Linked DNA regions of Rattus norvegicus. The protein of the gene in region 1 interacts with the protein of each later gene in a pairwise test. Links are inferred from orthologs where the notes say so. Each region holds a gene or a part of one and is shown on either strand. Other genes may lie near its edges.

The links.
Region 2: the proteins of Zfp277 (region 1) and Gngt1 interact in a two-hybrid assay, tested with the Homo sapiens proteins (3 studies listed by BioGRID and IntAct). The two-hybrid records come from large-scale screens. The link is inferred for Rattus norvegicus from reciprocal best matches to the Homo sapiens genes ZNF277 and GNGT1.

What each region holds. Positions count from the first base shown.
Region 1 is NC_086024.1:63,236,998-63,241,005, reverse strand, and holds the start of Zfp277 (zinc finger protein 277), read left to right. Parts: upstream 1-1,199; coding exon 1,200-1,293; intron 1,294-4,008. UniProt on the Homo sapiens protein: Probable transcription factor. Involved in modulation of cellular senescence; represses transcription of the tumor suppressor gene INK4A/ARF, perhaps acting via the Polycomb group (PcG) complex PRC1.
Region 2 is NC_086022.1:32,959,623-32,963,750, forward strand, and holds the start of Gngt1 (guanine nucleotide-binding protein G(T) subunit gamma-T1), read left to right. Parts: upstream 1-1,322; 5' UTR 1,323-1,455; intron 1,456-1,550; 5' UTR 1,551-1,557; coding exon 1,558-1,653; intron 1,654-4,045; coding exon 4,046-4,128. UniProt on the Homo sapiens protein: Guanine nucleotide-binding proteins (G proteins) are involved as a modulator or transducer in various transmembrane signaling systems.

The sequences.
Region 1 (4,008 bases):
ACCACCCCCCCCTGCTCACAACACACACCCCAAACACCCGGGAGGCGAGGGAGAAAGGAGGCTGCGTCCCGACTCCCTCTGTCACAGGGGCTAGGGGTGCCACATTCTGCACTCTGGGAAAGCCGACCCCAACCGCAGGGACTTCGCGCCTCCCTACTGTTTGGGAGTATTCTAGCTGCGGGTTCCTAGTCTCCCTCATCACCCCGGGAAATCCTAGCAGCCCACTGCCAGCTCTCTGCCTCCGTGGGCCAGCAGGGGTAGAAGGGAGAGAAATCCTGTTGGCTTCCCCTTCTAACTTGACACGCAACACACCCCGCGGCCACTCCAAACTCTGCCAGCAGAGCCCGGAGTGGCTGTCCCGACGTTCCGGGATCGGGTTCGAGAAGCGCCGAGTGCGCAGTGAGGAGCGAAACCCTAGCGCGCGCCCCTCAGCCGGAGGCCGGTGTGGCCAAGCCTGGGACCCGCTGTGCAATGCCAAGACCTGGCATTTGCAGCCTGGCGCGGAGCGAGCTGCGTGGGGGCAAGGACCGGAGCGTGGTAAAAGTTCGCCCGCGAGCACTCACCCACGCCGTATTTCTCGTGCTCCGTAGGTATCCACATGGCTATAAAGGGCGCTGAGGGGCTCCGGGCTATGCAATCCCCGCGCCCCTCCAGTGGCTCACAACAATGCACGGCTCCCGAAGAGCAGCTGCGGCGCTGGAGCACAGCAGATCGCGCGGGCTGCGGCGCTGGGCAGGGGCTTCTCCCGGGGCTCCCGAGCGGACACTGACACTACACGGACGAGACGGAGCCGCCCGCTGCTCTGCCGGCCGCGGCTGCTCACAGCCCTGCGACGCGCTCTCGGGGACCCGGCGGCGCAGTCATTGTTCTGATTCACTGAACTAAGCGAACACGCCGGGGCACTCGCGGGCGCACCCCCGCCCGTCAGCGCCCATCCAGCGCTGCCTCCCCACTGCCTCGCGGCATGCCGGGAGTTGTAGTTCTTACTCTCCCGGGCCCGGAAGGGGGCGTGGCTACAGCGGTTGGGGGCGGGGCAACTAGTTAGGCTCATCACATTCGATTGGTCCAAAATGTGACGGCACAGCCCAGGCGTGTAGAAACTCTCTCAGTGGGTCGGCATGCGACCCCAGGCGCGTTTTTATTGGTTATCTCCCCGCTTCGCCCCGCCTGCGGCCCGCCCCTTTCAACTGGTTCAGGTAATGGCTGCTCCAGAGGCCCAGGGGCTTGGTGTGGACCCCCGGGAAGACCGGGTCCGCGGGGTCCGCGGCGGAATCGGGCACATCGATCATGAAGGTGAGTGCGCTGTCCCTTGGGTGCGTGTGATCTGTCTTTCTTTTTCTGTGCCCGGGGTGCAGCTGGCAGCCGCTCAGACCTTAGAAGCTGGTCAGCTAGGAGACCACCTTGGCAATGCCAGGCAAAAAGCCGCGGGCGGAACCCACAGAGATTGGGTGGGGCAGAGGGCGGTTGCCAAGCTGAAGCTGTTTTGGGTGGGACGAGAAAATGTGAAGAACTGCCTTCCCGGCCTCTGAGAAAGCTCCTTTTGCTTTGTTCCGGTTTGGAATTATGTGCTTTGCACTTGCCCACGAGTGGGTGTGGGTCAGGTCTGGGTCGCACGTGTGTGATTGTAATGCTGTGATTAGGCGCTATTTCCTGACTAGTATCCTCAGTTTGCTGAATTTGTTTTTGGGAAGGTGTTTTATGTAGTTTGGGGCGGGTTTCCAAGTTGGAGACTAGTCACGTCACTGTTCTCCAGTACTTGCGGGTTGCTCTTTGGAGTCCTCTCCAAAGGGAAAGGATGTGTGTATCTCAGGAATCATTTGACCCTGGAGCCTGGGAAATCTTACGTCCTAAGTCGTAAGAGAAAGAGGAAAAAGAGAATTAAATGCACTCCCGCCTTCACAGAATATTTAAAAGAGGGTTTTGAAACTCATCACAACTACTTTGTATCTACCTGATTTTGGTGTTTTCTTCAATTCCACTATAGAGATCAAAAATCAAACTTTCGTAGACTACCTTTCTTTTAGTCGAGCTCCACTCCCCACCCATTTTAAGTATATAATTTAGCACAGCAAGTTCTCTTATGTAAATGGATAGGATTTGGGGGTTAATTTGTGTCTCAGTCCTTGTTGATGTTTTTTCCTTTCACAGCTTTTAGTATGAAGTTTTTATCTCAGTAGCAGAGAAATGAAGTGCAATTTCTTCCCACTTCCCCTAGGTGAAATTCCTATCATCTAAGCAACCTATCAGTGGGTTTGCCATATATCCCATACTTCTATAACAGACTGTTAAGCTTTTCCAGATTACCAAAATTCCACAGAGCTACCATTTTAAGATATAAAGTTGGAAGCTTCGATAATTTTTCTCATGGGTTAATTTATTTGAGAACTTATAAATACCTCCAAAGCATAATGAATTACCTTACAATTACAATTCATTATATTTCAAGCAGTTCATTCAGAGGTATTCAGATTTAAAAAAATATTAAGTCTCTCCACTACACAGTTCCACTTATAAAGACAAAAGTGATGCAAATTTTGACATATTTCTTTATAATATACATTGTATAACTCATTTTTAAATGACGGATAATTAAAGGGATAATTTTTGTAAACTCAAAGATCTACAACTTTCTTCTCCCTCTTGTGTATCAAAGATATTTCTTTATCAACATTTTTTGTAACATTTAGTGACTACACTCAGGTTCCATAGAACAGATATTCCATACTCTAGCCAGTCCCCTCTTAATAAATGTATAAAGTCACTCTGATTTTCAATAGCATTACAGAGAGTGGATTTGTTTATATGTGTGTGTGTGTGTGTGTGTGATACATATGTATATAGATGGATAGATTGATCCAGTAAAGTATTACTTTGTCCAGTATTAAGCTTGTGTAATTTTTATGTAGATACCAGTTTTCTGTCTTAAAAGTACTCATCATGAATATTCCCCAATAATAACCAAGTATCCTTTACCCAATATTTTCAAAAAGTGTGAGGAAATTATTAATCCAGGACCAGTGTTGAAATATAGAAAGACCGAATTAGGTGACTAATGAAAACTTAATTTTAGTCTCCAAATTATCTTCAACAAAAGCATTGAGCAGCAGAGAATTTTCAATGGTTGTCACAAAAAGCATCTCTTTCCTTACTTCAGAACTGCCCAGTATTATCATTGACTTAGGACAGTGGCTGGGAGAGTGTCATGATTAGTCTTATGTCATTTTTAGTAGGTAAGTACATAAATTTATCATTTAAAATTCTCCTTTAATAATGGATCATTCTTTGACTTTATCAGAATTCTTTTCAAACCCTGCAAAATGGGACATACATTTTAGGTGGGAATAATTGCATTAGGAGTATATTTCTTCTTAGGCAGGCATTTAAGTGATCCAGAATGTCTTTCTCTATAAAATCACACACCTCTTTACTATCCGGGAAACTGCTGCTTTTCAGAGGTTTCTTTTAATTCTAATTAAAATGTCATTCTATGTGTTTAATATCCTGAGACAAAAGGGCCCGAGGAGCCATTTAATAGAAATCCTAGCAGTTCTGTAAAATCTCTGCAGGAAGGAGCATTAGATGGAGTTCGGGCACATACAGCTCCCTCTCTGAGACCACTATGCTCCCCGAGGTTTTTTTAGTCCGTTCCTCCCCATGTCCCTACCTTGGTTGGTTCACAGCAAAATTGTCTATTGAGAAAAGTCATAAAGTCTGTTTGTTGGCAATACAGATAAAGAAAGAAATGGTACCAAGTGTGCAGCTATCTTCCTTGCACACTCTCCAGTGTACAAGAACTCTTGGTGTTAGGAGAGGGGCTTAGGACTGAACTAAGGGCGATGGATGTCTGCTGAGACTCATGTGGAGAGGAGGTCAAATGACCCGGTCAGGCCAAGACTTATCCGTGTCTGCTGCTCATTTAAACAGAAATTAGTGTCCCGTATTGTTTCCTAAAATTAAAAACAAAAAATAGGGTTTGGGTAGATGGCTAAGTGAAAGCACTTGCTATGC
Region 2 (4,128 bases), on another chromosome or scaffold:
ATTTTCATATGAAAATTAAGTTACAGATACAGAGCAGAAAAGGAGAGAAGCAGAGGACAGACACAATGTCATTTGAGTATGACAATATACCTGTCAAGTGATTTCAGGCATACCAACATCTACCAAACCTTCTTCTCCATTATCCATGATTCTAAACAAGAGGAAGATTGCTAGAAGAAGCCATTCTTCTCACAAAAGTTACATTGGCAGATCAGAATCAATATGCTCCCTTGAACAAGTCATAGCTGCTCAACACTCTTGTTCAATGCACCGCGGCAGTTACCTATAAATCATAAGTATTCTTGGGAGGGAATAGGGAGGCAAAGTTTAGAACAGAGACTGAAGGAACACCCATTCAGAGCCTGCCCCACATGTGGCCCATACATATACAGCCACCCAATTAGACAAGATGGATGAAGCAAAGAAGTGCAGACCGACAGGAGCCAGATGTAGATCGCTCCTGAGAGACACAGCCAGAATACAGCAAATACAGAGGCGAATGCCAGCAGCAAACCACTGAACTGAGAATAGGACCCCCGTTGAAGGAATCAGAGAAAGAACCGGAAGAGCTTGAAGGGGCTCGAGACCCCATATATACAACAATGCCAAGCAACCAGAGCTTCCAGGGACTAAGCCACTACCTAAAGACTATACATGGACTGACCCTGGACTCTGACCTCATAGGTAGCATTGAATATCCTAGTAAGAGCACCAGTGGAAGGGGAAGCCCTGGGTCCTGCTAAGACTGAACCCCCAGTGAATGTGATTGTTGCAGGGAGGGTGGTAATGGGGGGAGGATGGGGAAGGGAACACCCATAGAGAAGGGGAGGGGGAGGGGTTAGGGGGATGTTGGCTGGGAAACCGGGAAAGGGAATAACAATTGAAATGTAAATAAGAAATACCCAAGTTAATAAAGACAAAAAGAATCCTAGGTTTTGTTGAATGACATTTCTAAATTGTATAATAGCTTATTTCTGAAGTTTATTTACTATATTCAACTTCATCCGTTCAGATTTCAGTCCATTCTCTATGATGTATTTATAATGGTACTCTTTATAAATAGTTCTCTTTTAATACCAGATTAAAGACTCCAGCAATTTGAGGATTAATGGGCAGTCCTCCAAATAACCTCTGACTGAACTAAATGGCATTGATTCCTTGGCAGATGGTTTTGACTAGAGAGTTGAAAACCGAGAAGTTCAGACTGCAAAAGGCCAGAAGAAAGGAAGGGGCATTACTACTTTATATTGCAAGCTGACTAAATGGTTCTCTCCCTTCAAATCTCCTGGCAGGTGTGGGAAGAGAAATGCTTAGTTTAATCACATTAGGGAAGATTATGAAGAAGCTTTAAAATCCTAAGCCTGGCGTGTGGAATGAGCAGTGTTCGGAGAGTTTGTTCTTGAGGAGTTGGTTATCACAGGCAATTTGAAAGAAAACCCAAAAGCAGCTTCCCTGGTAAGTACAGAGCAGAGGGATGGGCTTCGTGTGTGTGTGTGTGTGTTTGGTACAGCAGTTCATGTGTGTATGCTTATAGTCTATCTTTATCACAGACAAAAGATGCCGGTGATCAACATCGAGGACCTGACAGAAAAGGACAAGTTGAAGATGGAGGTGGACCAGCTCAAGAAGGAAGTGACCCTGGAAAGAGTGATGGTGAGTGAGTGACCTCTCCAATTCACCGGAAAAGACAGCGTGGCAAATACCCACACCTCCCAATTCCGTTAGCGTATGCTGGAACAGATCAATGTATCTAAAAGTAAATTCTTAGTGGAAAACAGAATCAGTGCTGAAGAAAGGTAATAATTAAATTTATTTCAAGAGTTAGATTCTAAACCCGAGGGTTAGAAAGCTAGTTTTCCCAGTCCAAGTGTGGCTCTTGGCCTGCTTTGGTACGACTACTGAGCTGAGGAATGTCTTACACCTTTACAGAAAGACCAAGAAGATAATAGGGGAAAAATTGAAACAGAGATAGGGTTTTACCTAAGCACTCAAATGAAACAAGGCATTGAGATATTTTGGTTTTGTTCCCATAAGTTGATTATTCTTCATTTTGTACAATATTTGACGTCGTCCATGTATTTAAAAGTACAGCCTCAATCTCCCCAGCCTTGCTCTGGTCAGTCACAAATAATTACATTCTAGTCTTCCTGTGCAAATAAAGATGATTTCAGCCCCAAAACCTCACTGGTTTCTCCTAAAAACATCTGTTAGCTCTTGAGAATAGTGACCTGGGGTCTCTGCATTAAATGGAATAGAAAGGAAAAGGGAATGGACATCTTTCCCGCAACAGTGACTGAATCTCAAGAAGTGTAGATTTGTGTTAGGTACTCTCTCTTCATTTTAGGAATATGTCTATCTATGCATCCTTATGAGGAAAGAGTGAAAAGAGTCTATCTGCTTGCCATGCATTGCTCAGACCTTACTACTAAGCAAACACATTTAAGATTTTAGTTTTATTTTATAACTTCCCCCAACTCTCGTGATACTCCTTCCACAGAGACAAAAACCAGATTTGGAATAAAGATAAACTCAAATAGGCAATCAGCACAATAGAACACACAGGCCAAAATCCTTATCACATCAACGAGCTCCTGGGTGTCCTTTGGTCAGCAATGTGAATATTTTCAGGTTTATTCATTACCTTGGAGTTTTTATTTGGGGGAAAACATGACATACACCACCTCTCCAACTATTCAGAAGAGTCTCGATTTTGCAAGTTTAAATAACAATGTTAGTTTGTAAACCTCACTGTCTTCTCTGTGCTGTGTTGTCTTCCCACTACTGCTTTTTTTTTATTCCTTTTCTTCTGCCACCACCTCCAATACAGATTTTTTTTTTGCTGTATATTCACACACATCTGTTGCTCTAGTCTATTCATGCTGCTATAAGAGGTTAGAACAGACCGCATGCCTTTGCAGAAGTGGTGAATCATTTTGATGTTATTCTCTACGTTCTGGAACTGTGCTTATCCAAGTCCAGGGCCTGTGCTTTCATTCCCAGGTAGTGTCTCCTCAGTGTGTCCCTACAGGGTAAAAGGGATGAGGAGCAGCTGCTCTGGTGACCCTTCCTCCTCGGCGCTAATGCTGATAATGAGCTGACCCTCAGGGTGCGAGCAACTGTCAAAGGCTTCATCTCCTAGTGTCACTAGACTGGGACTATTTCCAAATATAGAATCTAGAGTGCACACATATATTTACGCACGTATACAAATGAACATTTATGTGTATGTGGTACACAATTTTACTGAAAAAGGCCACTGTTTACATGACTTACAAATTGGTCACTGCACTGTCAACAATTCAGATCTATGTTACTGTCATAAAAAAAGCATTGATTGAGTATAAAATGAATTGAGGGTAAAAGCCATGGATAACTTGGACTCTTTTGAATACATACATGTGCGTATTACCTATAGAGATACAGCACTGAAGCCTGCCTGTTTTCTAAATCACAATTATGAAACTATTAGTGAATGAGGAGCAATTTTATAAACCAAATGAGTGCCCATTCCAGCACACATTCCCTCGTTAAGCATCAATTGAGCACAGGCTCTGTTGCCCGCGTTATACTAAACAAAATAGCCAAAGTCAGTGACCGCTTGGATCACGTGCCACGCAGTTATGAGCAGTTGCTGTGGTTGAATTTAAAACTGTGTGTTTGCACTTCTGAGAACCTGACTCTGAGAATGTGCCAGGAATTTAGCAACTCTTCACTCTCATCCATCTTTACACTAAATGTTTAGGAAGAGAAGGGAGACTTACTTTGGAGAATTCCCCGACTTGTGTTTCTTTGACAAAGCCAGAGGAAGAGCCCACTAGAAATGGTTAGCTCAAGGTCAGCTTTCTCTCCTCCAGAAACATCTAGAAGGGAGGTGTGGGAATGATTATTTTTTCCTACCCTGAAAAATACACGTGCACTGGCAGGAGCAGAGGGAATCATCTTTAAAAAGTTGCAACCTAGAAATGTATTGTAGTAAATACATTTCTATCATCTGCAGACCTCTGTTGTAAAACAAATGAGTTACCTCTGTCTCCTTTCTTTTAAGGTTTCCAAATGTTGTGAAGAAGTAAGAGATTATATTGAAGAAAGATCTAGAGAAGACCCTCTAGTGAAGGGGATTCCAGAGGA